Linked DNA regions of Rhinolophus ferrumequinum. The protein of the gene in region 2 interacts with the protein of the main gene of each other region in a pairwise test. Links are inferred from orthologs where the notes say so. Each region holds a gene or a part of one and is shown on either strand. Other genes may lie near its edges. The genes, in order: MYBPC1, FHL1 and AKAP12.

Region 1 (10,545 bases), on a different chromosome or scaffold from region 2:
TGAAGGTCAAGGAGTAAATTTGAGAGGGAGGTTTTCCATCACCAGGGTTCCTTTTCTGACGATGATTAAGCCTTGAGCCATGCTGAGAAATGGGCAAGAGGTAATGAACGCTGCTCTTCTTTCAGATACTAGGTTTGGGGCTCAGCAGAACTTGAAAATGTGATGAAATCTCTAGGGACCAAGAAAGAAAGATATAGCAAAGGAAACGCTGTTGTGGACTGAAAAAAAGTTATTCTCCATTACCATGTTCCCACCTATTTCTACTGAAAAAAGGCTGAGATAGATTAGATAGATAGATATTGCATGCTAATATAGCAAAAGAATCTGTAGCAACAATGTCATGCCTTTGATTCCGGGAGTTATCAGAATGGCCTCTTAAAATTATGGTCATAAATGAAGTCATGTTTTACCGTATGTTTGAGTTTTTAGGAAGAGATTTCACATGGAAGATGAGGAAACGGCAGTGATTTCCCAAGGTTTTTTGAATGGTACACAAGCACCAAGGAAGACCTTTGCCTTTTTCCTGCAAGTTAAGTGCATAAAATATGAAAGAGCCTGATATATCAGACAAAGTGAAATTTGTATTGAGGCCTCAACTTGGTGTTTTAGAAGAGAATTTTTCTAGGTCCTGTAGATTTTGACAGTTAACAATTGTCTAAGTATATTAGAGAACCAGTCGCTATGGTTTTAATTATCAGAAACTACAGAGATAAAATTCTAGGAATCATTTTTATGGGTTTAAGAGTAATTCATAGTATTTTTAAACTATTAGAGATGCTACCACCAAAGAAAGTCTATTGGAATTTTCTAATTTCATGTTGATAAAATTGCTTTTTGACAGGAAAAGAGAAGTTTCCAGTGAAAGGTGATTTTTAAATTTTTATTTATTTTTATTTTTTTATTTTTTTTTTATACCATAGGACCCGGGCAATTAACTGTGAGAGCTTATGGAACAGAGACCCTGTTGAATATATCTTTAAAATCCCAGCAACTAGCCTCTGGTAAGTATTCAATCACGGATAACATAAATAAATGTATCCAAAGCATTCTGGTAGATTCCCACAAATCTCAAGCTTTTTTTCCACTTCCTCTCTCACTATTAGAATAGAATAACTTAACGTTATTAGGCTTCAAGTTCTGCATGCATTCAAAGTGCAAGACAGGTCTCTTATCTAGAACTGATAGTACAAATAATATAGTTCACTAAGGAATAAATACACAATGAACAAAGGTGGAGAGGAGAGTATTGAGAAGTGGTTGTTCCTTAGAAATAATGCTTTCTTCCTCCAAAAGGGGTTACAGAGTCATCCAGAATACTTTCCAGGGTCTAAATAAGGATCATTGACTAATTACTTCCATTAAGAGTTCCTCCTTGAGGCCCAAAATTACATCTGTCCTTCCTCCTCCTGAGAAGGACCAGCTCTCCCACGACCCAACATGAAGTTCCCACAATTAGGCCACTGGAGGTTGAGAGACAGTTGAAAGATACATCATTTGCAACTTCAGGTGCTGAAAACTCAACCTCATTCAAAGAGTTGCCAGGTCCTCCTGGATCCTAAGAGGGCCAAATCAGCCCATGTATTCTATCAAGATTCATAGCAAGAACATTCGTAGCATGTCCTTCCTAGGCATGCTTCTCTCCCCTGGGGAAGAGATGTTAAAAAAACCTATAGGGGCGGGAAGAAACTGTCACTTGGGAATGCTTCTGGGGATACTTTAAAATGACAGAAGAAATGGTTTGGTGGCAAGTTTTATTCTTGAAGCTGTCTTTCAGAGGGATGTTTATATGGCACAAAACCAACCCCAGTAAAAAATGAAATCAGTGAGGAGAAGGTGCAAGGACCAGAACAGTTCCTAAAATTGCCATAGTCCTTCCTCTTCTGATGTTAGCAATATTAAAAAGCAGTGATTTCACCAGGAAAACTCTTCAAGGAGCAGTGTCCTTAAGAATCAGTTCTGCTGGCAAGGAAAACAAACAAACAAAAAATCCCTGTACTTCCTCAAAGGATTTTAAATATATCAGTAACACTCTTTTTATCTCCACTCCCCACCACCCAAATTTAAACCGACCAAAGAATCTGTGCGTATAAAATTACTGTCCTGGGTGGGGGAACTCCTACACAGAATATCACATCAACAGTGCTTTTATAGCAAGAGAATATCATGAGGACTTTGGTATCTGTGTTAATTTATTTAAAAAATATTTTGGGGGGATGGCAGGAGCTGAAGTTAAAGATATGTTTTCCTCTTTGTAGCTCAAAAATGTCATTGTCTTTAAAAGTAGAATGTATCAGATGGAGTTGTCAGACTCAGATAAAGGAAAACTTTATGCATGTAGCAATCAGAGTAATTTAATTAGCTCTATAGGTTCTACGGTCTGTCATCTTTATTAGTTTTTCAGCTTTCTTGTCATTTTCAAGTGGGCTTTAAAATAACACATGCAAATTCATCCCCTAAATGCAGGATAATTAAAACAATATTCTGTCCTCAGTCAGGAAACATAGAATGCATTTCATCCAAATAAGCCTTGAAGAGGCTAGTCAAGTGACAGATCAAATAAAAAGGACACTTAATACACATGTAAATCATTTGCATTACAAATAAGACACTTTAGCAGGGGTTGGACTCACTGCCTGATAGTCAGGATTAAGTTCCCATATTAATGCATGCATTTGGTGTGGTTATTTCGGGTGGAAGACTTCATCCATCAATGCCCTCCACTACTAAGTAAAGCCAACCTGTAAACTGATCACCACAGCCTGTCAACACTGGTTACTTAATTACATAAAGAAAATATATTTCAAAGACTTTTGATAATTTGGTTAGTATTTCAACTTTCAGTTCAACATCTAGCATCTTTTTAAGGTTCTTCAAACTAATGGCTAAAAGTAGTATTAAGAATTAAAAATGAAAAAACAAAATACTATTCTTTTGTTCCCTGCTAATCTTTTTCTTTGGCTTTTATTTGCAGAAGTGAAAAATAAAGATTCAATAAGCACTCAGGAAGACTAATATGTATGTTAATAGATGTTTCCATTAAAAATTAAACTAAATGTACTTGTACTATTAATTTATGTTTTTCATTAGTCATTTTAGTAACTTCTAACTCCAATTTATTTATGTTAATTAGTAGTTTTAAAATCTTGATTTTTTTAATAGAAAGAAGAAATGTTTCTTCTAATGAAGAATGTTTTCATATTTTCAGTTTAATTATTTTTTTAAAGGCGACATATTATGAAATTATCTACAATAATACTCATTAAAGAACATAATCCATCAATGATACTCAAAGTTATTCTCTTTTACCCAGGTGTTTGATTTTCTTTCCATGCAAGAATTTAATAATGTAATAAAGCTCCAAAGGCACTGATAAAAGCAAAAAAAAAAAAAAAAAAAAGCCTACATCTGTATATTCTAAATGTCTTTCCATGAAAAAAATAGCAAATCTGGAAACAATACCACAAATTCTTTTTGGAAATTTTGATCAAATTTATAAACCATGTAAGAAAGCATTCCAAGCTACTAACACTCCACAAACTGCAAATACAGGGTGAGAAGTTTGTGATTGAAACTTAGAAAATACACTTGAAAACGCAACCTGCTCACCACGAGCAATTAACATCCTTAAATTACACTTTCAGGATCCCTTACTACAATCGAATGATAAAATCATAATTAAAAATTTTAGTCAATATCCCTTCATAAACTATCATTGTCAGATATTTTTCAATTGGTTGTACTTTCTTATATTTTTCTTCTGATCTTTTTACTCTCTGGAATCTTTTCCTGAAGTCACAGTAATTCTATTATTATATAGTCTATTTAAGAAACTGGATATTTGTTTGAAAATAAATACCAAAATAAGCACACTGTATTAAAATTACAACAAAAAGATTTATGGATGAGTCTTACCCTCTTTCTTAGTGGGTTCTGGCATGACCACAATAAAAGGTTATTCACCAAAGAGTTTGCTCCCCTCCAGTACTAGTTGACAGAAACCCCCGAGCAGTTGAGAGATGGTGCAGGTCAGTGTGACAAGCAGTTGGGGAGAAATCCAATGCTTTTGTACTGCCTCTGAACATCAATCATGTTGGCACCGCCCCTTCTTTAGCCCAAGGATGCTGGAACTTGACAGCTATGAGGACCTTTCCCACATCTGTTGTCTGCACTCTGCTCTCTCGCCTACTGGAAGGAATCTCCTGTCCATCTCATGTGGCTGATGAGAACACCTCTAACTTTCTAAATTCAGCTGCAGCCGCATGCTCCTTCTTACCCTTTTTTTTTCCTGTCTAATGGAGGCATGTGTCGACTGAAGCGTGCAAAATTTTGCCAGATGACAGAAAATTAAACTAAATTTAAAAATTGTAGTATGCTAATTCAGCATATACATTAATTTTTATTAAGATATAAAGGGAAATCTCTGTTATCAAGATGATAATTTTATGCTCTCATTAGTTTCTTATTTTTGTGAGCTCTTAATTATTGGATTTAAATTTATCTTATTTTTATTAATATATTAATATCAATTTGAAAAGCCAAATTTCCATGTTGACTATCTTCTCTCATTTTCTCTTCTAAGAATAGCAAACGTTTCTATTAAGGAACATTTAGACTTTACCTTTTCTCAAGGAACAACCTTTAAAAATTCACATGGCATATAAAAGAATGAAGTAATGATACGTGCTACAACATGAATGAAGCTTGAGTACATTATACTAAGTGAAAGAAACCCAACACAAAATACTACATATTGTACAATTACATTTATATGAAATGCCCAGGATAAACAAATCCATAAATTCAGATAGTCGATTACTAGTTACCGGAGCTGGGAGGAGATGGAATTGCAAGTGACTGCTAATGAATATGGAGTTTCTTTTGGGGTGAATGATGGAAATATTCTGGAATTAGATAGTGGTGATGGTTGTACAACTTTGTGAGTATGTTAAAAACCACTGACTTATACACTTAAAAGTCTATGGGGGATGGGCAAAGAAAGTTAGACCAGTAGCCATTGTTTTGTTTCAAGATGGCAGACAACAAATCTAATTTAAGATATTGGCAGACTGTATCATATTGGACCACTTTCTCCCAAAACTCTCATGGCACTGATGGAGAACTATGAACTACCAAGTGGTCAAACTAAAAAAGACACCTTACTTTCTTTGTCCACATGGATGAGATACCTCAGAGACTGGGACCAAAATTAGTTTATGCGAAAAGACGACTCCTTGAGTGCCTTCATTGATATGTGTTTTCAAGATCATTCTCAAGAGACTTTGATTGATTTGTACTGAACCAGCCACACTGTCTCGTTTAATTTCCCTTGTGGCTGAGAGCACAGCTGGTCACACTTAGCTCTACCAAACTCTGTGCCAAGCTAACTTTTCATATAAAGATGGAAACTCAACTTAGAACTCAATAGCATCACGCTTTAGCTATGTGGGGGGAGGGGGAGGAGAGACAGTCAAGGAGGTTCATGAACATCTGTCTACAAAGCAAGCCTTTTCTCCACCACATGGGGCCACGATCCCATTGCTTTGCTTTTTAAAATACTTCTTGGCTCTTAGATGTTGAACATCAGCCAGAAAACAACATATTCTGTAATACAAAGCTAGATGTGCTTTGAAAGAATGAAAAACAAACTTTTTTTATTTTTTCTGCATCTACCATGAGAGAATCAATAGGAGAGACAAAGTAAAGAAACTAGAATCTGAAGTCAGACCCTTGGGTTCTGTTTTTGGATCATCACAGAGCTGAGTTAGTCTAAGAAAGACAAGTGGCCTTTCTGAGCCTCAGTTTCCTTTTGTATAAATTGAGAGGTTTAACAAAATGGCCTCTGATGCCCCTTCTAGGTTTAACTTTGTGATTTGATACTGGTGCTCCCTAAAAAAGAATCATTTCCCCCTCAGCATTCTCAGCACACTGAACACCACATATGAAATTGACAGAGGGACAAAGTGTCACATTGCAGAAGAATGTTTCTAGTGATGGGCAGATTTCACACATGCCACAAAAGAGGGGCCATGCCATCACTGGCTTCTGCAGAAACTCTGTTGGATTTTTAATACACTGGTCATTTTACTGAAGTGAATAAGTGCCAGGAAATATTGCAGCCCATGGAGAAAATATTTTATGACCTGGGGAACTATTTGATAATAAAAGACTTGATTGTAAAAAGACAAAACCTAATTGGAAGAATCCAAAGTCTGAACAAATTCTATGATATATGATTGTAGAGTGTGTTAGATGGTTAACTCAAAATTTTAAATTAAAATAATAAGTAGACATGTAATTTTCCTAGGATTGTTTTGTTTTAGGAACACATAATCCCTATATCAGATCTAGAAGGTTGCAGATTCTTTTTTATTTATTTATTTTTATTTTATTTTATTTTATTTTAAATTAAAGTTTATTGGGGTGACAACTGTTAGTAAAGTTACATAGATTTCAGGTGTACAATTCTGTGTTACATCATCTATAAATCACACTGTGTGTTCACCACCCAGAGTCAGTTCTCCTTCCATCACCATATATTTGACAGATTCTTTATCCTCAATATCACTCTCAGGCAGTGGGGAAAATGGTCAACATGACTCTTTTTTCTTTTGTTAAATGCTTTATTGGTTTTTTTCCCCTTTGCGTCATTTAGGATTAGATTTGGCTGAATATTGCACGAACCCACAAAATAACAATAGTTAAATCAAGGCAGAAGTATTTCTTGTTCACATAAAGGAAGTCCAAAAGTAACCAGTTTGGAGTCATTATAGTGGCTCTGCAGTATCATCAGAAATCTAGGCTCTTTCTTTCTGCCCTACCTTCCTCCAGGTAACTTCATGGTCGAAAATGGCTGCTAGCACTCAAATCATTACATCCACATTCCCAGCAGCAGAAAAATGTTTTTAAAAAGGACTCACTTTCTCCATTTTAGAAAGACTTCTTTGAAGTCCCATACAAAACATCTAGTACATTCCACTGAACTTGATTACATGGCCATATCTGGCTATAAACGGAACTGAAAAATGTAGTCTTTCGTTCTCAGTGGCAATAGGCTTCTGTTACTAAATAAGAGAATGAGGAGAATGGTGTTGGATTGGTAGATATCAATCTCTGCCACATCTTTCAAAATAAAAGCAATAATGTTCTCTGTACCAACCAAAGAATGCAGAAAAGTATAAATAATAAACCTCATTCTCTCTCCAATGTTTCCTTATTCCAAGGTGTGAATTAGGGTCTAAATTTCTTCTGTGCTCATATATACACGTACTCATATGTAGGGAGTTCTTCATCTATTTTTATTTACATTAATCTTTAACTTGATTTTTCTATTTAACATGTCATAGACATCCCTCCATGTTAATACATATACTGGGGGTGCCAAAATAATGTATACAAATGGACACTTTAGTCAACATTGCTCTCTCTCTCTCTTTCTATACACACACACACACACACACACACACACACACATCTTTTTAACAGATGAATAATAATTGTTCATGGTAGGGATGTGTGCCGTATAGTCTTAATTGCTTTCCTTTTAATGGGTAGAATGGTTGTTTTCAGTGTTTTCTCACCACAATTAACACTGTAATAAATATAATACATTATAACCTTACAGACATTTTAAAATTAGATATATATAGATATATACAGATATTTTTAAATTAGTAGGCTAGATTGTTAAAATTGAGCTTTCTGGTATACGTACCTGGTTTAAATCTAAATAGATTTTTGCTAGATTATGTTCCCAAAAGTTTGCCTATTCAACAGGTCAACCAGCAACATATAAGATTACTTGTTTTCTCATACCCTAGATGTTATAATTAAAAAAAAAAACAAAAAGTTGTGAACTTAATGGGTTAGAAATGATAGCTCATTATTTGAGTTTCCATTTTTCCAAAGGTTAAGCAATATTTCATGTTTTTTGGTGACTTGTCATTTTTTTCTCTGAGTTGCTTTATTCAAATACTTTACTTTTTATTAGTGATATTAGCTCTGTATATATTTCAAATAATTTTTTCTCTCTTTCTTTTGCATTTTGCTTTTATGATTTTTTTGCTATAAAATAACTACATTTTTAAAATTTATTCAAATCTGTCACCTTTTCTTCTATGGCTTCTGGATTTTCTTACTTTAGAAAAGTCTCTTCACCCAGTGTTATTCAAATACTCTCATAAATTTTTTTCAAATACTTTAAAATCCTTAAATATGTTTATTGTGTGAATTAAGGTGTCTAAATTTGTTTATTCTCCACCCCCCCGCCACTCCCCAGCTTAACAGGGAGTCATGCCAGCACCATTTCACTGTTATTTTACCACTGATTTGAAATGTAAACTAGAGTTTATGTTACATTCCCATGTAAACTAGAATCTATTTATAGACGCAGTGTTCATTTTTTACTCATCAATGTATTTATTCTTTAGCCAATGTCTTCCTATTTGCATTCATTAGCTTTACATTAAGTTTTAGTATCTGATAAGGCAAGATCTCCTCTGTGGTCTAATTTTTCAAAATTTTCTTTGCAATTCTCCATTTATGTTCTTCCTTATAAACTTTAAATTCATTTTGCCAGTTCCTGTCACCTTCTTCCAACATAAAAGATACTCTAATCAAAATAGTATAAAGTTGTTATATATTAATTCATGAATCATTGTCATCTGAATATTAATCCTTCTCACCTAGAAATATTGTATGTATCCCAAGTCAGATATCATTTTATAGTTATTAATAAAACTTTATAATTTTTCCTATTAAAATTCTATACCATACATGTTAAATTTATGTCTATGCATTTTATAGTTTTTGTTACAATTTTAAATGGAATTTCTTCCATTTCCATTTCTTACTGGCTATTGAGAGTATGAAGAAAAGCTATGAAGTTATTTTTATAATTATTTTGTATCCAGCCATTGAAATTACTTTTTAGTTCAAATAGGATTTTTAAGGTCACTAGGATTTACTTACTATGTAATTATATAATTACATGCTATGCAAAAATGATAATCTTGTCTTTTTATTTCCAATATTTATTGAATTAATTTTATTTTATTATTACATTAGCTAGAAGCCCAAATATAATGTGATAATAGTGTGGAGAGTAGGTCTTCTTCTCTTGTTCTTGATTTTCGTAGAAATGGATCTAGCATTTAAAATTTAATATGATATTTGTTATTAATTTGCAATAAATAGCCTATCATTTTAGGTTGTTTCCTTTTATTTATACTTATTTGTTTATTAATAATGGCTATTGAATTTTATCAATAGCCATTACTGATTGAATTTATTTGTGATTATTTGTTTTTCTTCTTTGATTTGTTTATAAAAATGTTACAGTATTTTGAAAAATTGCCAAATGTTGGACAATCCTTGCCTTCCTAGCAATAATCCTGTTTCATTGTGGTGTATTATTTTATTGATAAAATTTTGGATTTGCTAATATTTTATTTTAGATATTTTTGCATTTATATGTTGGTGAAATTATTCTATAAATTCTTGTCTGTGCTATCTTTATCATGTAAGTTATGTTACCATCATAAAATTGGTTATAGATACTTGCATCTTTTTCTAATATTTAATATAGTTTGAGTAACATAGGAAAATGTGTTCTTTGAAGATAGGTAACACTTGGTTATAAAACCATCTGGTCCGATCCATTTTTAAATAGTAAATCTTTACAAATGCTTCCAATTTCTTCTTTAAATTGAGATGCTCAGTATTTACACTTCTTTTTAAATTAACTTAGAAAATTATTTCTTCTAGATTTAGTAAGAATATTCAAAATACAAGCAATAATGTTCTCTGTACCAACCAAAGAATGCAGAAAAGGGTTTTATTTTAATTTGTAGTGTTTGCTATGTTTGTGATTTTTATGCCTCATTTTCAGTTCTAACAAAATTTTTATTTTCTCTCTTTCCCTTAATATGTTTTTGCAGAGTATAACTACTTTTATTGGTGCTTTGAAAGAACCAGTTTGTAGTTTTATTTTCTTTTCTTCTCGTAACTTCTTTAGGTCAAATCTGTTGTTGTTTTTCCTTTTCTATGTGGAGGATTTAATTTAGAGTTTATTTTCAGCCTGGGACTATAGCTGTATCACATAAGTTTTTAACTTAATGTACCGGTATTTTTACTAATTTTTGAATAATTTTCAGTTTTGGTTTTAATTTGCTCATTGATTCAGGAGTTATTTAAAAGGGATTTCTTAATTTCTATGAAATTAAGATTTTCTTGTTATTGTTTTCTTTTTTTAATTAATTTTTAGTGATGTGAAATTTACATCACCTAAAATTAACCATTTTAAAGTGAACAATCCAGTGGCATTTAGTAAATTCAGAGATTGTATAATCACCACTTCTATCTAATGCCAAAACATTTTCATCACACTAAAAGGAATCCTGGTACTCATTAACTAGTTACTGCTCTGCCCACCCCTAGTGACCAATATGTTTCCTGTCTCTGTGGATTTACCTATTCTGGACATTTCATATATATGAAATCATACAATATGTGACATTTGTGGCTAGAATATTCTGTCTGATATTTATA
Region 2 (10,542 bases):
AGAGCAAAATATTTTGTTACTACTCATCTTCAGAGAGGTTAACCATGCTAAGTTAACAGCTTATAAATGACAACGCTGAGGTTCCAAAGAGAACAGATACCCTGATTTGTGGGCTCCACCAGAATGAGCCATAGTTAAGCTCTGACTTCAAGAGGAGAGAAAAGCTTTGCACTTTCCTTTCTTTCCCTTTGTTGGAAATAAGAGAATAGAGAATGACGATGGCATTTACCTCTTCTTTGGGGCTTTCTTTCATCTTACTGAATGACATATACTTAGGTGTTTATGTCTTAGGGAATAATTTTTACCCCCTTAGCAATTTCTAAGTAGATGAAATCCGAAGCTTGTAACCTTCCAAAACTTGCAGATCTGTCTGCCTTGACCTATTGCTGTTATCTGGGGAAGGACATGTCGTCAATCACTAAAGGCAACCTGGGTACATATAATTACCGTGCCGCTTCCCTTCCCACCCATCGCTGTCCAAGCCATGTTTTCCCTAAAGTAGCTCTTCGACTAATTGTAACCTCACAGTGTGGCCCTCATCTGTACGTAGTACAGAGGTTTCTCTGTCACAGAAAAGTTTGCCAGTACACTAGGAGCCCCCGGGACCTAATCCAGGGCCTTGCATACAGGAGTCACACAGTACATGCCTGTTGATTGACCGATGGAAGTACGTCACCACCAGTAACCTTCTAAAATTTCTTTTATTAAAAGCCTTTTATAACAAAGATTCCTGTTTTAGAAAAGTAGGGAACATCTCCTGTGACCTTAAGGGGCTGACATCTAACCAGCTGTTCTGCATAGACTTAGTAGGTCAGAATGCAGTTGGAAATGTGACTCAGTGATCAAATTTTAGATATTTATTCCAAGATGGTAGCCTGACTTTCTTGCCATGCCTGCTTCAAAAGACACATCACTCTTCATTTAATAAAGAAGCTTCTTCTTTCAGAAAATCCCTGAACTACATCCAACATGCTATAAGGTGCCTACATAAACCTCAGTATCTCAATAAAAAGTTTTCGCTTTTGATTTAATCATGTATATATACGAGTAATATAACATCGCAGCCTTTTTTTTTTACGATCAACCTCTCATTAGAGAAGATTCAATTTGTATTTGATAATCTTGCTTGTATTTCTATGTGTATTTTCTCATGTATTTCTTGCTAACATTCATTTTTCGCCTCGTGCCTCAGGAAAAAGTGAGTATTATGACTAGGTAGCATTTTTCTAACTATGTACTTTCCCTGAATGGTATATATAACGTACATTGTAAACAATGAACAGCAACCCAAATGGAAAAAAAAATTCAGGTTATTTCTGATCTGTTCATTGCTAAGTCCAACATACCAGTCTGTTAGTCACTCCGTGTATAAATATTGGCTTCTAAAGAAAGGGTATATTGCTTTCCTGCAATATACAACAAATGGAACATTCAACAAATGGAATGGAGCCTTAGCCGATGAATAGGACACTTGTGTAACAGTTATGCTCGCGCACCTGGAGGTGTCGTCAGACATTTGGGAATAAATACCTAAATAGTTGCCATGAGACAGAGTTCATGAGTCATGGCTGAAAAGTAGTCTTTCATTGAATTTCCTAGAAAATCAGAAAGTGTTTTTTTCCCTTAAAAATAGAACATGTACAGAATGATTCAATGTTATTAGCAATATCACTTGTATGCGGCCTTTAGGGAAAAAAACCATATAAATCTCTTGTGGATCATTGATAGACAGGTAACACAGTTTACATTATACCTGGTATCAGGAGGGTTGGATAGAGATTATTAAAGAAAAACTTATGTGTCACTGAACTTCCACTGGGCCAGATTCTATTCTAGTGCTGTTTTGTGCATAGTAAAAGCTTTCCTTAATATTATGTGCAGCATGTTCCATCTTCCATATAGGAAAACAGCGCTTCCAACCCGGCAGCAATAAAACCTGTGTTTTCAGTTTCTCTAATTGTGATGAAGTACCATAGTAGGTGGTCGTTTGGTGGCCTGAAACTAAAATTTAAAAAAAGTACAAAATGTTCAGTTTCATCCTCCACCAAATCATCTGACTACTATTTTTCAGTTATTTTAAGAAGCCAATCCAGTTTGATTACGCCCTCTCACCCCACCGTTTCATTTTCCATGGCACCCTAAAAAAAGACTGTCGGGCGTGTGTAAACCCACTGGGCAATGGCAGGTGAAGGGAATCAATGGCTGAATAACATGGCAAGTGATCTTCCCTCCCACCGCACCCCCACACCGGACCTCAACTTGAAGGGGAAAAAAACATATGAAGGGTAAAGGATTTGCGTATACACAATTTTGCAGACTGCAAAGTGTTCAGTAACAAAAGTACAATTTCTTGTACTTGAAATGTCCTCTCAGTACATGGATGGTCACTGAAATTGGATTCTGATCCAATTCTGTCCATACAAAGGCAATTTGGGGGCAATGTGGATTTTCTTTCTGTGAGGAAAGAAAATTCTGTGAGGATTTTCTTTGTCTTTCATCTGCTTCCATGGATCTATGAACCTAATGCAATACAAAACAATAGTTCCCAATTTAAAAACTCATCTAAAAGGTGTCAATTAATTTGTCTAATTTAGTCACAGTTGTAGCCTCCAGATTTATATTAATATAAGCAAGAATAATGTCAGGATTTGGTACAATTTAAAACCCAAGGTTGGGTGTGCTGTAATTATCTTTTAAGTATATCATTTTCCTATTCTGTCACTTAGTAAGTAAAATGGGGAGTTCCTTTACCAGTTAACATGCGTTCAAGGTCCATTGGAACAACTAGTATAGCTGAATAGTTTACCTATACCCAGAGAATGTGTATGTTGGCCGATTACCACAATCTCGGGCATGTGGTACCATGTTGGTTAAGTGGCTCCTGGGAAACAGAGACAGTGCTTGAACACTTGGGAACAAGGAAGACCATTGCATTGAGGCAGCGAATTACATTGCAGCATATTTGTTTAAAACACGCAAGGAGAACATTTCCGAAAGTATTCCCATTGTTTAAGTATCGGCAGGCAATTGTTAAGTTTCAAAAATAATTTTTCCAAAAGACTGCCACTAATAATTATTTTGTCTCTTAATCTAAAAGGTAGGCAACAGGACCAAGTGCCCGGCTTCTAAGAAAGGGGACCGTTACTTAGGCAGAGGGCAAAGAGCAACAGCAGCATTCCTGGCTTCGGAGGAGAGACTGGCAGCATACTGACTTGAGAGAACCGGGCTTTCCGGGGAGACTGCCTGACCTTCAGTCCTCTGACCCCTATTCCGCAGTGTCTTGTCCACAGCCAAAGGGCTTGCTTAATGTCAGTTTACAAAACAAGAGGAAGGCTCTTATGGTAATGACAGTCCAGAGGTTCCGAAAATTTGCCCCTTTTCCTGATAAGAACAATTAATAACCCAAGTGTCATATCAAAAGGATCACAGTTGTTTTTTCAGGAAGACTGAAAAGGTTATTCAGAGAAAGGGGAGATATATAGTAAGTCATTACGGACTGTCTTAGTTATAAATATTCCTTCTTCCAGCTCCATATTTGATGGACCTTTTCTAAACACCTTAAGTTCGATTTAAAGCACTGTCAAGAAAATATTTGTTATCTTATAAATAACCAAAGAAAACCAGAAGTTTCTAACCAAAGAAAACCTCTTTCCTCACACAACCTCTTACAGTTTCATAAGCTGTCCTAAAAAATGTACAATACAGTAAAAGGCTTACATACTTTTTAAAAATAAGCCACTCGAACTGCTAATTTTTCTTGAATAAGAATAACCTTTTATCTTTGAAACAGCATTAAAGGGGCAGAACAGAGATGAGCTGTCTTATTACCTATTTAGACAAGACTAAAATCATTTCATCAAAAAGTATCTTTTAGGCAAATGATGGATTCAGTGCCCTAACAAACTTGTGCTCAATAGAAGATAAAGAATACGAAGCTTTTACCTGAGTGTCTATGGGAAGCCATGGCTCAGAGACCAAGTTCAGGAGCAGCACCTAGACCAGTCCTCCCTCGACCCCACCTGAGAAGGCTGTGGCTCATTTGTGAACATACATTTAAGGGGAAGCAGCTAACACAAAAATAACCGAGAGCAGATGGCCCACCCCTCCCCAGAGATCACAACCTTAATCCCACTAGAAAATTCTTAACCATTTTAGGTGATCCAAGGGAGAAGAATAGGACCCAGTAAAAATACCAAACACTACATATAAATACCTGTGGTGCTACTCAGCATCCAAATTAGCTCCAGAGCCAGAGAGGCCACATAGAAAGTTATCCCTGTACCGGAATAAAATTTGGACTCAGCTCTAGCATAGCTTAACGCTGAGCCACCCTTGTTAACTCACTTTATATGCCTAAAGAGCTTGCATTTGGCCCTATGAAGAATTCATTTTTGTGCCATTAATGATAAAAGTAACTGTAAGAGAAAGCCTTATGTTACCAGTATAATCAAAAGGGATTAGACACTATGAATATGGAGATCAAGGGCATTATGTATGTCCTCCTTGGTATGTACCACAGATCAGCAGAATTACTGAAAAGAGCAATTCTAGCCACATATCTCCTTAGTGCTGGACAGAGCAGGACAGGACACAGACATACATGCCTATAACCGCTATGTAGACAAGGAAGAGACTTTGTCCCACAAACGAAATCTCTTCTCACCGTCAGGGGCAATAAAAGTAAAAATATGGGGCGGCTGGTTGGCACTGTGGTTACAGCGCAGTGCTCATAACACCAGGGTCGCCGGTTCGATTCCCCCATGGGCCAGTGAGCTGCGCCCTCCACAACTAGATTGAAAACAACAACTTGACATGGAGCTGATGGGTCCTGGAAAAACACACTGTTCCCCCATATTCCCCAGTAAAAAAAAAAAAAAAAAAAAGTAAAAATATGGACGAAAATGAAGATGGTCACGTATCATGCTGTAGCAGCTCAACAGGCTGCCCGATGCCTGGAGACTGCTCATCAGGAAGAAGCTCTAGGAAAAGCCAAGGTCCTCAAGATGGCCTCTAAACCCCCTGCCTGTTCATTCTCTAGCCTCATCCCTGCCCCAATTACCCTCGCTCCCTTCATCTCCAGCCTCACTGGCATTTGCACTGTCCCTTGCACCCTTCAGACACACCCCACCTCAGGGCCCCAACACTGATTCCCTCAGCACCGAGCCTCTTGATTGCACCTCTACTTCCTTCAAGGCTTTACTCCAAGTCACTTTTTCAGTGATATCTTCTTTGACCACCCTATTTAAAATTGCAACCATGCTCCCCATGCCCCACACTCCCTAGCCCCTGCCCCAATTTGATCCCCACAGTAACTATTTGTTGGAAAAAAATGAATTAAAAGAAGCAAAAAGGCTTAATCAAACCTCATATAAAACCAAAACACAGTCCCACCTGGAACCCTAAAAGTGACTTTGGTCATTGAACTTCAAGGAAGGCATCCGACTTTCACTCCGGGACAGGCGCTGGGCTCAGTACCTTATAGACACTGCCTTGTCTAGTGCATGTCACTGGTTTTGGCCCTATTCACACATCTCTTTTACCAGGCTGAGGGCCGGGAACATGCTTTACTTGTTTTGCTATTCCCAACAGATAGCAGGTAAGCAATACATGCTTCATGGATAAATGAATGAATGAGTTTCGCAACTTTTACGCTTTTCAAATGTTTAGAAAAGCTATTCTAAAAGACAGATGAAATTGTAACTCCTAGTTTGCTGGAAAAATGACACAACAATAGAAGCCAGGATGTTAACAGGTTTATGACATGATAACGTCCAAAAAAATAAGCCTGGGAAAAAAGGGAAGTGACACTGCACTCCTGCACGCCTCTCTAGCCTTTCTTATCCAGCCTGATTATATTATGGCAGGGAGATTGGCCAGTCTGAACAATACTACACCCCTAAAATAAACTTAAACTTTCACCACAAGGAAATGCTAATTTATTTGATGATCAACCTTTATGAACCCCAAATTTTAGATTTTAGTGAGGTGTATTTCTAGGTAGAGCCAAAGCATTTTTTAAAAACGCCTCTTGTAGTGCTGTGAACAATAAACTTAGATTGCCAAGTGCTTTCCTCAAGGAAGTCAATTCTAGTTTCAAGCCATGTATCAGGAGGTGTTTTGTTTTTTAAATTAAAGTTTATTGGGGTGACAACGGTTAATAAAGTTACCTAGATTTCAGGTGTACAATTCTGCATTACATCCTCTATAAATCCCATTGTGTGTTCACCATCCAGAGTCAGTTCACCTTCCATCACCATATATTTGATCCCATTCTTTTACCAAGTTCCATTAGCCATCTGATCATTTTGAAAAGCAACAACGGAATATGGACAGACTGATAGCCTTATGAAGTTAGCAAATAAACATAAATCTATTTTGCCTGAAACGCAAGAACAAGAGAATTACTCCTGACCATTAATTAATTAGTCGGCTACAAGCCAGCGTGAGCTGGGAGCTTGGCCCTACAACAGCATTTATTCCATCTGCAATTTACTTCAACCAGGTTAACTCTGCCTTCCTATAAACTTCATGAAGCATGACCACTGCCTGCTCTGACATTTGTCCCCATGCCCATGTCAAGTGACAAAACCACAATTTTCACAAAACCCAAACAGAACGGGCTCTTTGTTAGGTGAAACACAATTTCTCAGTAAGAATCGCTGGTAATTTTATCCTGCCTTGGATCAGTGGTTCAGAAACCTTGACGGTTATTTAGCACACACCCAAACAATCAGTGGTTTCATTAGCGTCTGAGCCAACTTCATTACATATTAACAGTATGATGTTAATAATATCCTTAATAATCCTGTACTGTTTACAAAGCGCCTTTATATACTGTTGGTGGAGCTGGCTGGTGTTTGATTAACAAATCTCTTTAGTGTCTGAAGGCCACATTTCAGACCTTTTAGTCTTTCACACTCCAGTGTACATCAGGATGATTTTTCAGCGAGCTAGGCATCACAAGTCCTAAGCTCCCTCTTGCATGTGGTCCTCTGGGAGCCATTTACTTGTCTTCCACCTACTCAGATTCTTGTCTTCCACGTACTCAGCAGTTACATTTTAACCTACCCACGGGCCCCACTTGTAGATGATACCACCCCATCTATTCATTTATTTTGGAGGACGAACACTTATTAAAGAGATGTCCTACTATGTGGTGTAGAATATTTTGCTGCTCACAAAGAGTAAGATACAGTCCTTCCTTCCAAGTGTATCAAGATCAATATACAAATGACTGTCACGCAAAACATAGCATGGTGAGTATTACAAGAGATATAAAGTGGTATAGATTTATCACAGGCAGCGATTGTATTAGGTTTGGAGAGATCAGAGAAGACTTGATGAATGTGATACTATTTGACCTGGTCCCTGAAAAATGGGTAAGGCCTTAGCACAAGGAGAAGAGGAGAGGGAATTCCAACAAAAGGCACAGTATGAACAAAAATACGAGAACACAGGGCCTGCTCCCGAAGCAGGATGCAGCCCAGTGCGGGCAGGAGCACAGGATACATCTGCAGTGGCACATCAAGCTAGAAAGAAACGGAAAGCCAGAGCTCGGAGGGTCTTTTTGCAATTGGTGCAAGAGAAGGGTGAGATCAGGGAAATATGAGCAGTGACAAGAAGAGTCAGTCTTAGGGAACGAAGTCTGGAAGCAGGGAAAGTCTAGAAGGGTATTGCTGTTGTCCAGATGAGACATAAGGGGAAACTGAATGAGAGCAACAATGGCAACAGGCATGAAAGGGAAAGGAGATGGAAGGCGCACCACGGGGCAGGGCTCAAAAGGACTGGTTAGATGTGTTGGAGGAGAAGGAGCTGGCAATCCTTCCGATGTGGTGATTCTGGGTGATCAGGAAATAATGGGGAATTTGGGAGGCACCACTGGTGTGGGGAAGAGTGGCGCTTTACTTGGAGCTTTACAGTGAGGTTCTTCTGAGATGTCAATAACTAACCCCCTTTAATGGGATCCAGTTGTCAAGTCGAGAAAGAACTAGGGCTAACAGTGCAGTTACGATGGAATCACGTTTATGGGAATTCTCACCCTGCAATCTAATCCCAGACTCTACCTCAGAAACACCGCTGGGAGGATCAAACTTCCAAAGTTCAAAGTGGTGCAACCTAAGAGTCAAACACGGCAAATTCAGTGACCTAGTTGGCCTACACCTCGGGAGTTCCTGGTTCACAGCTTGGCTTGTGGTCGCCCTTTTCCCTTTACTATATTTTTTCTTTTACTGAAGAAATTTCCAAATAGTTGAAAAGTTATTCAGACATTTACTGGCCATTAGTCATGGCCAGAGGCAAGAGGCTTATGACAATCTGGAATGGAGCCTTTGTGGATTTATCAGAGGTCTGATGTTTTTTTTTGTTTGTTTTTTTTTTAGCTTCTTCTTTTCTCCACATGCCTACTACTAATAATTAACACACTGCAAGTTTTTTCTCAGTATAACTTTCTCAGGCTACTAGTCCCTCCGCCAACAATTTTACTGAGTGACTCCAACTGCAATCTTAAGGCATCCAGTCATGCACTATGATATGATGGGATTCGATGTTGAGCTCTCCCGAGTATTTCTTGTCCTATGAGTTCTTGCCAGAAAAAGGACAGTACAGCTTCAGCCATCTCATGTTCCTGTCAATCTTTAGGGTGGGAAGAGTACTTTTCCTTACTGACAAGTCAAATCTTGCAAAGTCACTGCTTAAATGTCACACAATTTCAGGGCATACCCGTCTGAGTAAAACAAGGGAGCCCCCGTCCCAGAACCACCTGAGGGGCAATTTCAGCATCCAAGATCCAAATGGAAGCAAAGCTGGGAATTCTTCCTCCCCAAAGGGTCTCTATGAGTTTCAGAGCAAACGAAAGGGAGGCTACGAAGGGGAAGACCTGCTACAAATGAGGTAAGATGCATGAAACTGAGGACCCTGTAAATAGCAAAGCACCTGGGAAATGCTAATTCCCTCCAGAGAAGACCTGTTCATTTCACAATTAACCAGGGCTTAGAAGGTTTCCTTGCAATCTTCACTCAGAGATTAAGAATTTAAACATATGCCATGGCCTCTGCCATTTGATTTTTGGAAATGTCATCCCATGATTCGTAACAGTTTTAAATGTCTCTTGTCCCCAAAGTCAGCCCCTTCTTACACTGCTACAAGACTCTCACCAAGATGTATGAACTATCCCAACCACGTCCTATAGATATTTTGATGGGCCTCTAACAAGAAATCACCATCAAGTCAACAATGAACAGATGACTTTCACAGCAAGCCACTATGATGATCTCAGATTTTTTTAAAAAAAATTGAAGTGGCATTTAAAAGAGAAAAAAAATGATAGAAGAATTAGAAAGAGTTTTAGAAGAAAATACATAATACAAATACAGAATCTCAGATCAAGGGAAAATGAATGCATCATGAAACTGAGAAGGTGGTAGGGATAAATCTTTGTCATATTTTAGGTGTTAAACTTCTCTTCCATTCTATTTCTACCACCTACTTGTGACATATCTGTTTTATTTCCATGTTGCCATGTGCCATGATTCAAAACACCCTTTCAATCATGTTAAGTCCTGGCAGTCACCAAGCCCAGCTGTTAGGGACATTTCAAGCCTCTGATAGATGCTTGAGGGCTAAACATGCCATGACCCTAGTGTCTAATCTACCCAGCTGATTAATATCCATCACAGGGAAAACCCAGCAAATCAAATAAGCTAGTTATTTGTTCTTAAAACTGCTAATGGAGATTGACTGCCTTAACCAGAGATGTTATCACAATACCTCATGAGCCCTGCTTCTTGGTGTGAGATCTCAACTAGTTAATTTGTCATTTACCAAGGGACTGTAATTAATACATTACCTTATTACGCATTGGTGTTTTCAACTCCTCAATAGGGGATAGGCCTGGAATTCAGGGCGAAAGTTGGAAACACTCATGAGTGGTTCTGCGGGGCTTGGTCATGGTACACAGAGGTGGGAGTGGGAGCACAGGAGGCGGAAAGGGATCCAGCAGTGATGGGGTGTCACTCAGAAAGTCTAGATTTGGTTAGGTAACAGGGTTGACTGATAACAGGGGCAATTGGATTTCTAGAGGATTGAAAGAGCCCAAGGTGCAACCTCATTTGGTCTCCATCTGCCACGTTTCCGCGAGGGTCATTATCTGTCTGCCTGAGCTGTGTCTCAGTCTGGATTCGAAGCAGATACTCACAGGAGGACCCAGGAGGGTAGTGATCCAGAGTGCTTCATAGCTGAGAGAGCAAACACAAATAACTTTCTGTGAGAAGAGCTATTCTGTTTGCAAGGGCCAGAGGAAAGGCCAGTGTGATCTTGTGTGTGGCCTGACATGAGTTCACTGCCCCAAAGCGTAGCTTGTTTTCTCTCTGTCTGTGTATGGTCAGGACAGAGTATAACAGGCAGAGTCTCTGGGTGCTTCCAACTTTATAATGATTGCATAATGATAGAGTTGGAAATGACCTCAGATACCGTGTAGTCCAACCACCTCATTTTACAAATGGGGAAACTAAGGCCCAGAGTGGAGATGACTTGCTTCACAACATT
Region 3 (11,474 bases), on a different chromosome or scaffold from region 2:
AAAAATTTATAGTATCTTGTGAAACAAAAACATTCGCATTTATGAATTGTCTTCTAAGATACCAATCTAGAATAATCCTATAACATCAGTTTAAAGCTATCCAGGCACAGAGCTTAGTTGACCCAAAGTGAATTCAAAAGGATGCACATGAGACCTGTGCCTCATAGAAGGATGCATTTCAAGTGGAAATCTCCACTGATATCGTGTATCTACAAGCCTAAAAGGCCATCACAGATTCCAGAGAAGGTCCTGCCGTCCCCAGGCTATGGCTATCCTAAATGACCATCCTTATACCCACATCTCCAAATTTTGGACTGTGTTCCAATCAGAAAGTAGCACCTCTTGTAATCTGGGGAAAATCCATAGGAATACAGGTAGCCACACACATAAAAACACCACTCCATTAACAAACATAATTCTCATCATCCTAAATTCCGGCGTTTTTAGTATAAAATTATATGTAGACATAATCATTTTAAGGCCATCTTCAGTCTCAACTTCCATTCTATAAACAGAAGGCAGGTGAGAGAAAGTACACTGCCTTAGGCCCAGTAGAGGAATTATGAAATGCATCTGGTCAACTCAATTGTCTGTTTTAATGCATGAAGGGCCAAGACATCCTTCAGTCTACCAATCAGCTAATGGATTCTTCTATTTGAGTACATTTTTGTGTGTTTGGTGATTCAGCTCTTGTAACCAAATGGAACCACAGCTTGAAAGACTGACAGGAACCTTCATCTCCCCCCTGCCACCTGCAGGGACGTTGGCCACACGCTGTTGCAACTGACTACTGTTCCATTTCCAGCTCTGAGGTCATTGAGCAGAGAATGCAGAAAGCTAATTCGAGGATTATGATTGTCCAGACTTAGGTTTGGTGGCGCTTGGCTCCAGAAATCAAGATTTGCCAGAGCATGAAGTAAATTTGTCATTGGTCACCTCACCCTATATTGCCACCTGATTGAAATATTCTTGGAAGACGAATTTTGAAACAGACGATTGAGGATTAATACACAGGCTTCTTTTTTTTTTTAACCACCTATGGTGGTAGGTATCTAATTCCTGCCCCTGCAAGTAGCCGAGATGGCCCAAATCTCAAACTAAATCTACAAATAATTGATCAGCCATTTTCTCCCAGAATTTACATACTACGATTGTAAAAGATTGACTGGAAGACTCTATTTTACTGAAAAACACTACAGATAAAAAAAACCAAAAACTTCTGCCTCACTGCATCTAAATGTTAGACTTGAATAATCAATTTTGACCAGTAGGAGTAACAATAACTCAATTAGTGCAATACCTTTGACTTGTGAGCACTTAGTGAGTAACTGGTAACTAAAATTAGCAGAAAAAAGGAAAGTAAACTGGATTGCTAAGTAGGTATGCATATGATCAAATATCATTTAGATGGGAAAAAAGTCTACTAACAGCTTTTAGTTAATGATCGGCATTTAATGGGAGTTAGGGAATGATGTATTAGTCTAAACCTCCCTATGCCCATAGACCAACCAAGAAAGTTCAAGATGTAATTCATAACTTATCCAATGCATTGGCGTGGTCCTTTGAGCCACTTGCAGACTTGTGGCTAATATATTTGGTCTATTTGAAATTAAAGGCAATTTGAAATTGTAAGATTAACATGCCACTCTTTCTAGAGAAGCTGAGAACTGAAAAAGTCCCCAAATCTGGGTTTTTTGGCCAAAATATTCTCTCATTCTAATAATAAGCGAACAGACTGACTTAACTTAGTCACTGTCTGTGATACATGAGATGGATCATGAGAAGGTCAAAGATTAAATGTAGAAAAATTAGATGGGCCAAAGTATCCCCAACTTGATAGTCTCCAATCAAAACCTGGGAGTCAGTGGCGTCCCTTCCTGAGAACCTTCTCCGTGCCAGGCAGCATGTCACACTTGGGGGAACACCTACTATAAGCAAAACAGATATGGTCCCTACCTCGTAGAACATTCAGAGTAGCCAAGAAAGCACTTATTAGTCAAGTCACTAAACCCACAAATGTGGAGACTGCTGGGAAGGAGGGTCTATGGTGCCTTGGGAGCCTAGATGGCAGATGGGATTCCTCAGAGGTCAGGAAGTGGAGTTGAACAGGGAAATGAGGGGAGGAAAGAGTCCTATGCTGAGTCAGGGCACGGAGGGGAGGAAACAGTCCTGTGCTGAGTCATTCTAATTTGGGGAGTCCCTTTGAAAAGACTCAGGTCTTCAAAACCTAAATAATACATTTTGCAAATTGAAATGAAAAGCTACACATTTTCCAAGGATACATATAAGTGTATTGATTGCCTCCAAATTGATAACTAGGCTGAATGCCAAAATGTTCAGTGATCATTCTGGATGTCATTTAAGTAATTGTTTCAAGGAGGTGGTTTGGCTGTTTCAAGATGGTGGTAACTAGGAAAAGGAAGGAAGAAGGATAAATTTATGAAAGGATATACCAAGAAAAGAATAAGAGAATGGAATGAATAGTTTTAAATGAACAAATGTGAGTTTATTGGGAAGGGAATTAGTACCATATGGCAGGGTGAACTGTTAATAAGAAGACCTGAGGAGTAGTAAAGCCAAGGAAAAAAATGAACCTGAATGCAAGCTTTTATCCATTATACCTTAAAATTACTGTCATTGCTGGACTCTAAGTACTGGTTATGCAGCCATTTTGACCGTAGTTGGTATCAAAAAGTGATTTACAGTAAGTATTAAAAGGTGACTCAGACCTCAAAAGGATAATACATTCCTTAGGCCCAAGCCTTAGGCACCGCTTAGAAAATCTAGTGTACCAGGCAGTAAGTGCTTGTCAGTATCCACAGCTCTGGGGACCATAGATTTTACAAGTAGTTGTAAATTAAGGACTGGAGGTAATCTAGTTATGAAGGACAGTCTCAGCCTAAACTAGACTAGGACAACTAAAGAGGTCAAGGCAATGAGGTCATAGTTCTGTGAAATTTACCTGGATTTCAGCCTGTTTTTTCCCTCATAAAAACATTGAACAGATTTACCTCTAAGTACAAAACATCTATGCCTCCTGAGATAACTCTTAAAGGTCCTCATTTAATCTGTATCCTCAAATTCGACACATGGTTGTTGTGTATTGTGGGGGTTTTTTAAGCATTAAGTATGGTTACCCACATCTTCCTATAAGGATGTCACAACACAGGTAGGGTGAAACCTTGCTAATGAACACACGTGGTGGAAAACAGATCTAAAATACAAAGACGGGAACAAGGAACAAACTTGACGGCTGTAGTGGCCAAGAATAAATATTTCAGCCTTGAAGACTTAAGACTATAAAATCGACAGATTTGCTAGGAGGCTCAGCACTGCCTCCACTGACAAGCGTACAGGGAATGCTCGCTTATGCCAGACCGCTTCCTTTGAGAACTTCTAACTACTCCTCCAGCATTTGTTTATCCAAAGGAGCCCACAAGCAATGCACAGAGCGAAAAAGACGCTGCCTTGTTTGCGAAACCTGTCATTCCTTTTGGAAATGCAGCGTCTGCCCAGGTTTTCTTTGGCTCAGAGCGAGCTACCTCCAGGCTTTCTCTGCATTAAGAAGGCGGTGTCTGCTCCAGCCGCAGCCGCAGGACTGGGTACCAAACCCCGGTCTCTCCATGAACAGCTAGTAAGGACCGTACGCGGCGGGGAACCCATGGGTGGCCCGTTCGCCAGGCTGCAACACGGGTCATGGCCCAGCAGCTGGCTGTCCTCATCGTGGAGAAAGGGGGGCCGGGAGCTCAAGACGCTGGGCCTGGGAGTCAATTCTCCACGGACTCCCCCACGTAGCCCGTGCGTCTCGGGCTGGGTCGCTCCCACCGGAACAGTGGAGAAAGGCTCGGTTAGCAGTGCGCCTGGGGCTGGATTCTCTGACTGCGGATGGCGCAGTCGCCTCCCCTGGAGACCCACGACAAAGATGCGAGTCTCCCCCCGCGTCCACTGCTGCTCTGGTCCCGCCCTGGGGCAAAAAACCCTGAAAAGAGGGGCTCCTGCTCCCGAGTTTGCAGATGGGCTGGACGGGCGGGGAAGTTCTCGCAGGCGGAAATCAGAGGGATCCTCCCTCCCCCGCCTCCCCGGGGCAGGTGGCCCGGCGCGCACGTACCTTGGTGGCGGGTCCGGGGCAGCGATGGACGGGTCCCCTGGCGCTCCAGGCGCCGCCTCCGCCGCGGGGCCGCCGCCGCTGGGCTGGGGTTCGGCCGGCGTCGAGCTCCCAGCCTCCGGCTGCTCCGGGCTCCGCTGCTCCGTGGAGCTCCCGGCCCCCATGGCTTCTCCGAGATCTCCCGCGCCCAGCCGCCGGGTTACGCCTTCTCCAAATCGCAGGGACGCGGAACAGAGCCAAAGAAGCCGTGCGCCCGGAGGTCCCAAGAGCTCCTTCCTCTCCCGCTCCTCTCCGCTCCTCCCGCTCCTCCTCCCAACGCGCCCAGTCTGCGAATGAAGGAGACGCGCTCGCGGCAAACTCCTTAAAAGAAAAGGGAAAAAAAAAAAAAAAAAAAAGGCCACCTCTTTGCTTCCTCCTCCTCCCCCTTGTTTTTCCCTCGCTTCATCACATGAGCACAGCCCAGACACGCCTTGCAGCAGCATCTCCCCCCAGGCTGCAAGGACCCAAAGCGCAGCGAGAGTCGCAAGCCAAGGTCCAGGCGAGCAGCCCCCCCCGCCGGGTGCCTCCTGTTCAAAAATGGGGACCAGAGCTGGGGGATGACCCAGAGCTGCAGAAAGTGAGAGGACAGGGAGAAAGGGGGAGGACAGAAAGCCTGGATTCGCCTGGGAGATTGGATTCGCTGGGGTTTATTAATGATAGATACCCCCAAGGCAAGAGCTTCTGCCGCAGCTGACTTGCAACTCGCCTTGAAGCGAACCCAAATCCTCATTTGCTTTCCTTCAGATTGTGTGTGACTAAATGTTTGTACCTGCCTCCTCCCCATCAGCAGGAGAAAGGCAAGCCCCCCGGGCTCCTTGAGAGTCGGACCATATTAGGACACCTCACGTGGCAGGAGCAGGGAACCAGGAGGGTCATGCCGTCAGGCCACGGATGAGGTAGGCCACGCTCTCCTATCATCCAGAACAAGTGATGTCAGGCGATATTATCAACAACACCGACCGCCTTCTTTCCCTGGGGAATTTGAGGAAATGAGATTGTTACTGGAAATGTGCAGGTCTTCCTTTGAGGGCCTGATGCAGGCGGTCCAGGCCACTTCTCCCTGCGCCGTGCTGGGGCATGATGGCGTAGATCTGTTCGTTTGCATCAATCTTTGTCCATAAATACTCTAAATAATGGCAGCCTAAGCGGCTTGCATTCTTTCCCGTAAGACTCTTGAATATAATATTTGTTATATAAATATAGCAGGCAAGTTAATAAATGTTTGAACTAAATTAAAATGTTAGTTGGGTTATTTGACACATAAGCATAAGGTGGTGGGGCTGTTAAGAAATATTATCCCAGCAACTAAATGCCTTGATTTTCACAAATAGTTGGAATCATCATTTTTAAAAAAAATGAAACTTTTGGAATATTGACACTTGACACCAGATAAATATCCCATAACAGATTTAATACAATTTAGTAGAGATTGATGGACACAGTAGTTCAGCACTGGGATATTTTGTGCCTAATTGTTAGTTATCCAGAATAAAATTTTTCTGAATTTGTCATTTTTATTTGAAAGAGTATATAAGTACCACTTTCTCTGGAATTTATCCCTTAAGAAGTAGTATATCTGTAAACACGCTTGGTTTTCAGAAGTTTTAAGCATTTCACCCATTTCAACTCAAATTTTAACGACTTAGGAAAACTAGAGTACTTTTTCTGTAGCAGGCACTAATCAAAGCACTTCGTATATATAATCACATTTAATCCTTACAACCACACTATGACAGAGATCCTACTATCCTCAATTTGACCAATGGAGAGGGAGAAAGTAGGCCCAGAGAAATTGAATAGGTGCTCAAGGTTTCACAGCTGACAGATGGAAGGAATCCTCCATACCACACTTCACTCTTCTGTAGGAAGCTTCAGGAATGTTAGTGAAGTTGCCTTTAGACCTCAGGTAGGATGTTAAGAGCTAGAAATGCTGTTAAAGCCTATTAGAGAATGATGAACGTCAGCACCTATGAAAATGTATCAGTAAGTAGTACAAATACTATCAAAATTTCCCATTCTGTGAGATTACATTTATTCGGTTCTTGGGAAATTTTTAACAAAGCTTTACACATCTCCCAGCCTTTGTATATTCAGAAAAGATTGCAAGGTCAAAGATTTCAAGCCGACAGCATGACCCACATGCTAAGGAAGCCATCACCAGTGTCTGCTTAGATTAGCAACTGCTTGCTTTGTGTTTATTTTTCAGGCTATGAAAATGCTCGTGTCCTTATTTTTAGAAAGCAAAATCTTATTTTAAGGAATGTGCATATTCTAGTACTCCCTTGTCTGCTTCAAACAGCCCACGATAAGGAGGTACTAAGAATAACGGGCTCCTTTGTTGATTCACACAAGCACACACATAACTAACTACCTTTGGTTCCTAGACTACCAAACAATCCTTTCCTTCTTACTTGTAGATTGGGAGTTACTCTTTTGAGTTATTTTTGTTGAGAAGAGGAGTTATGTTATTTATTATCCCCAGCAATGAGATGTTCCAACCTTTTAGATATGCTAGTTAGTGCTTCAAAACTTTACAAAGCTCTTTTTCTTTCTTTCGTTCGTTCATTCATTCTTTCTTTCTCTTCCTTCTTCCTTCCTTCTTCCTTCCTTTCTCTCTCTCCTCTCTCTCTGTCTCTCTCCTGTCTCTGTCTCTCTCTCTCTCTCTCTCTCCTTCCTTCTTCCCATTCTTCCCTCCCTCCCTTCCTTCCTGCCTCCCTCAGTTTCAAGTCATATTTACTGAGTGCCTATTATGTGCCAAGCACAGTTAATGTGCTTCCCACTCAAGGCTCTAAATCGAGTCACCAAGGTTTTCTTTTCAAGGTTTCGAGACACCTTCAGAATTGCTAGCATTAGTGTCAGTGATGGGAAGAAAGACAGCTGTTCTCTATTTTCCCTAAGACTTTTTCACCTAAGACTGTCAGTTACCCCAATTTCTCACTAGCAGCTCTTTCTGCTCCAAACAGCAGGACGCAGGTGTCCCTGCACATCCTCTCCCATGGGGCAGTCAGTGGTACAGTTGTTTCCTTGAGAGAGTCAATGTTCTCATAAAAAACAGTTTGTAATTTCTCCCAAAACAAATACACGTTGCCCGTACAGCAGGCTGAACTCGTATATCTCATGTAACTCTCTAGAAAGACGGGTCATACGAGATTTACCAATAAAATTTAGAGTCGTAGCTGGACATCCTGTGCATACACCAAAACATTTTAATATACGTTCTAAATGAATTCATAAATTTGAAACATTTTACAACTGAAAGAGCAATAATAATTACAATTATTAAAACAGAATTTAAAACCAACACTTTACCCCATAGATTCATGCTCTAGCTACAAAGCCTTCAGGCAATTTCACTTAGAACTGTCAACTCTTCACTCTTGAAACTGCCACTTACCACTTCTTTGTTTTTTCTAAATAAAAAGCCTACTTTTTTTTAATTAATTACTCACATCAAGATATCTAAGTCATCTAAAACCCATTCCTACTCTCTTCTTATGCATTTGCTAATTACAAACTAGAAAACTAGAAGAATTAATAATTTTATTAGTGAGTAACTAATAATCCAACATTCCTATAGAAACTATAGAAAAAGTTCAATATACAGATGAAGTTCAAAGGTCAACCACCTGTAGATATACATGATATATATAGGCGAGTACTTTTCTTTTAACTTTTAAGGAATTTATTGCTTAAGTATAAAGCCAGCCATTAACTGCTGGTCAATGTATGATAAAATAACAAAGAGGGCCAGGGGTAGTTAATCCTTTCATTTGTATATGTATTTTTTTCATTTATATTTTTCCAGCCACCGTAGAAGACTTGACAGAAGCAATTCTTTGCAGGGAACTAATTTGACATAGCTGCCACCACTTTGTTCAAGATGTGTCTAAATATAAACAAACAAATGAAATGTAGTCACCAATAGGCCAGTATTATTTTGGCTCTTCATTTTTCTAGAGTTGGGCTGTTCTCCACCCACTTATGACTGGAACCAAGGTATAGTAAATGATTTGCTTAATGAGGAGAGAGAATTTCTCAGTACACATTTTTGTAGAGTACCTGAAGGTATCTGGAAGGTTTCTACACTCCAGGACAGATCAAGTTACTGTAATCCTCACCATTTCAAATCCTTTCACAGAGTCTACAAAGAGTCCTGTAAGTATACAACAAACAATCCAACATTCATATAGAAACTATTCATATTTTATATAGTTTATAAAAAATATTTTAATATATTAATTCAGTGAACTTTTACTGAGTTAAGTGCCAACTAATACACTTGGTACTTTTCAAAGCTGGAAACTTTGGTTTCGTAAGTCAACATGCTTACTCAAAAAAAACATTATACAGACACACATTGTAAAATATTGAGAGATTTTAATGTTCCTCTGTTAATTTGAAGCCCTTTATGAATTTTTAATCTCAGATTCGCTACATGTTGTCTATGACATCAAAAAAGCCTTCAGTTATTTTTTACATGTGATTAAGAACCCAATGCAAAGACCAATGCTTGACCTGAAGATTCACTAAAATCATATCCAAGAGAGGTTGATAATAGTACCCCATTTTCCAGAGCTCTCAGTCAATGCCCTGGTTCTGTATTCGCAAGGAATTGTCTCAATTTTATCAGCTGCTTTGTTTTTAAAACTACTTCTTATCCTTCCCACAAATACAGTATCTGTAGGAGGAGTAGCTGTGATAAATCACAATAAGAGGTAGAAAATCAATAGTGACACTAGATCCACTTTGCCTACCTTCCCCCCTCCCAACATGTTACTTCATTACTTCTTTGGGAATATAATTAATCACATGAAAAAGATTCCAAAATCTGCAGCTGCTTCTGCTAAGTCAATGAAAACTTTGAAAAGTGAAATAATCATTGGAATATGTTGTTTTGAGTGTTATTGTGCTCTTGAGAATTCTATGAAAGAAATTATAAGTAAAATATTTGAATTTTACTTTCTATGGAAGAATTGGAAACACGGATTATGTCAGAGTATAAAATTATGAGGTGTTTTCTTGAGTAAAAGTGATGGTTAGTGAAAATAACATCCAGTAAGTGATTGCAATATCCAGTATTTCAAGCAAAAATTTACAGAACAAATTCCATTATTGTAGGTTGCCAACAGTCCCTTAGAATATATTTGTTGACAGCATTATTGAAGTATAATTGGCATAGAAGGAACTGCACCCATTTAAAGTGTACAATTTGATGAATTTTGACAAACGTATGCATCCTTGAAATCATCACCATAATCAAGAGATTGGATTTAATGATTTACCCAAAAATCTCTCCAGTGTGCTTTTGCAATCCCTTATCCCCCCGGCCCCACCCTGCCTGCCCAGGAAATCACTGATCTGCTTTCTGTCACTGTAGATTAGTTTGTATTTCTAGAATTTTATAGAAATTCATAAAATGGAATCATCTTTATACTTTTCTTTGGCTTCTTTATTCAGCTTATTTGTATCTAGATGCATCAATGTTGCCAAATTTAACAATAGGTAGTTTTGATTTTTTTTAAATCAACTTTCCTAAATATTCGATAGTGAATATATGTATTTTTTCCCCTGTAATTTAGGCATATATGCATGACATATGCATTCATATATCCTTCCACTGAAATCCAGAGAAAAAAAGTCAGCTGCATTTGAGTCTGAATTAAAAAGAAAGGCAGTTCCATTCTATATTTAATAAGTATGCATTCACCTTACATATTTTTCCTGGTTCATATCCTTATTCTAGTCAGAGTACTTGAAGGATTAGAAAAAAATGATAATTTTATTATCTTTACATAATAATTACTGGTTTGGCTGGGAATGGTGCATTTTTGGCCATAACTCCAAATCTGAAAATGACAGAGGAGGTGTCAGCTGTATTTTGTCCATTTAGGGGGAAAATATCCTGGAAAGTATAATCATGTGCCTTAAACGTTATTTTATTGTAATGTAAAATGACTTTTTAAAAAGTACATTTTAACTGCTTATATCCATGACACAGATTAAGGTGTGTAAAATTATAAAAATTATGACAATTGCAAGCCAATATGCCACAGTTTCTGTTTGATACTAATTTTTACATTAATTTATCAGCTGTCTAAAATAACTTATAAAACTATATTATGATATCATCTCAACTTTGAAAGGATAAAAGCTGAAAAAAAAATATATTGTTGTGTGTGTGTGTGTGTGTGTGTGTATTCGCCTAAGAAAAAGACTAGATGTTAAAGTAATTCTTTCTGGATGATAGAATTTAAAATGATTTTTTCCCCTTCATTATGTTGCTTGTTTTTTCCCCCCAAGTTTTCTCCATTAGACACATGTAATTCTTGCCAAAAGAATAAAACCATTTAGAAATTTTTTAATTCTCCAAGGAAGATATCCAGGTTTTAACCTGAAAGATACAAGTTTATATAGTATGTTATGACAACCCAGTACACTGTATTTCACAGTATTGAGTGACAAATTACAGTAACATTGATAGGTTCATAAGAAAGTAAGCCACACAGGAGACCTCAGCAGTTCTCAAACATGGCTGTATACTAGAAAAACATGGGAGTTTTAACAAAATTGAAGGCCTGTGTCCCAACTCCAGATAGTCTGACTTAATTGGTCTAGGGTGCAGCCTGGGTACTGGGGTTGTAAAACGTTCCCTAGTTAATGCTAAGTGTGCAACCAAGGTTGAGAACCACAGCTCTGGAGACTTGCGATTGAATTGACTTTCCTGTTGCTTCCTGGATTCTGATGGGAATTAACAGTCAACTAAGCAAGGATATGAGAGAAAAGTAATTTCCTTTTAGCACAGTTTTTAAATGATATTAGGGGAGGGAAATTCTATGTTCTGGAATCATCATCATTACATATACTCAATCTGATCCTTCCAAGGAAATCAATCCACCTGGAAGGGGTCCAACATAAAGCCTCATGGCATAATGAATTTTGTTTTAGGTAGGAATATCTTATAGTAAGAGTGCATTTTTTAAAATCATGCCAATGAAGATGGTATTTTGGTATACAGTTACAGATAAATATAAAATCATCTATATTCAATTATATATTACTTATCATACTCACGAGAAGAAAACTATTAGGTTGTGAAATACTGAGTATTTGCTCCTACGTGTAGAATGTAATCACTATAGAAAATATTTCCTCAGCCAAAACCCTCATGCCTACAGTCATGAAAATAATCAGTATGAACTGATAAACATCTTAACTAGGAATAAATGGAAGAAAAACAGATAAGTTGATCTAACATTTCTTTGCATTCCTTTAAACTGACTTGCTAAAGTCTTTCAAAATAATTCCATAATAATGTCAATAAACCCATGTA

The links.
Region 1: the proteins of FHL1 (region 2) and MYBPC1 interact in a two-hybrid assay, tested with the Homo sapiens proteins (2 studies listed by BioGRID and IntAct). The link is inferred for Rhinolophus ferrumequinum from reciprocal best matches to the Homo sapiens genes FHL1 and MYBPC1.
Region 3: the proteins of FHL1 (region 2) and AKAP12 interact in binary tests that used the Homo sapiens proteins (3 or more experiments, as listed by UniProt). The link is inferred for Rhinolophus ferrumequinum from reciprocal best matches to the Homo sapiens genes FHL1 and AKAP12.

What each region holds. Positions count from the first base shown.
Region 1 is NC_046293.1:17,655,324-17,665,868, forward strand, and holds the start of MYBPC1 (myosin-binding protein C, slow-type), read right to left. Parts: upstream 4,061-10,545; 5' UTR 3,938-4,060; coding exon 3,913-3,937; intron 1-3,912. UniProt on the Homo sapiens protein: Thick filament-associated protein located in the crossbridge region of vertebrate striated muscle a bands. Slow skeletal protein that binds to both myosin and actin.
Region 2 is NC_046284.1:20,055,100-20,065,641, forward strand, and holds the start of FHL1 (four and a half LIM domains protein 1), read right to left. Parts: upstream 4,096-10,542; 5' UTR 3,965-4,095; coding exon 3,943-3,964; intron 1-3,942.
Region 3 is NC_046286.1:94,219,664-94,231,137, reverse strand, and holds the start of AKAP12 (A-kinase anchor protein 12), read right to left. Parts: upstream 4,270-11,474; coding exon 4,105-4,269; intron 1-4,104. UniProt on the Homo sapiens protein: Anchoring protein that mediates the subcellular compartmentation of protein kinase A (PKA) and protein kinase C (PKC).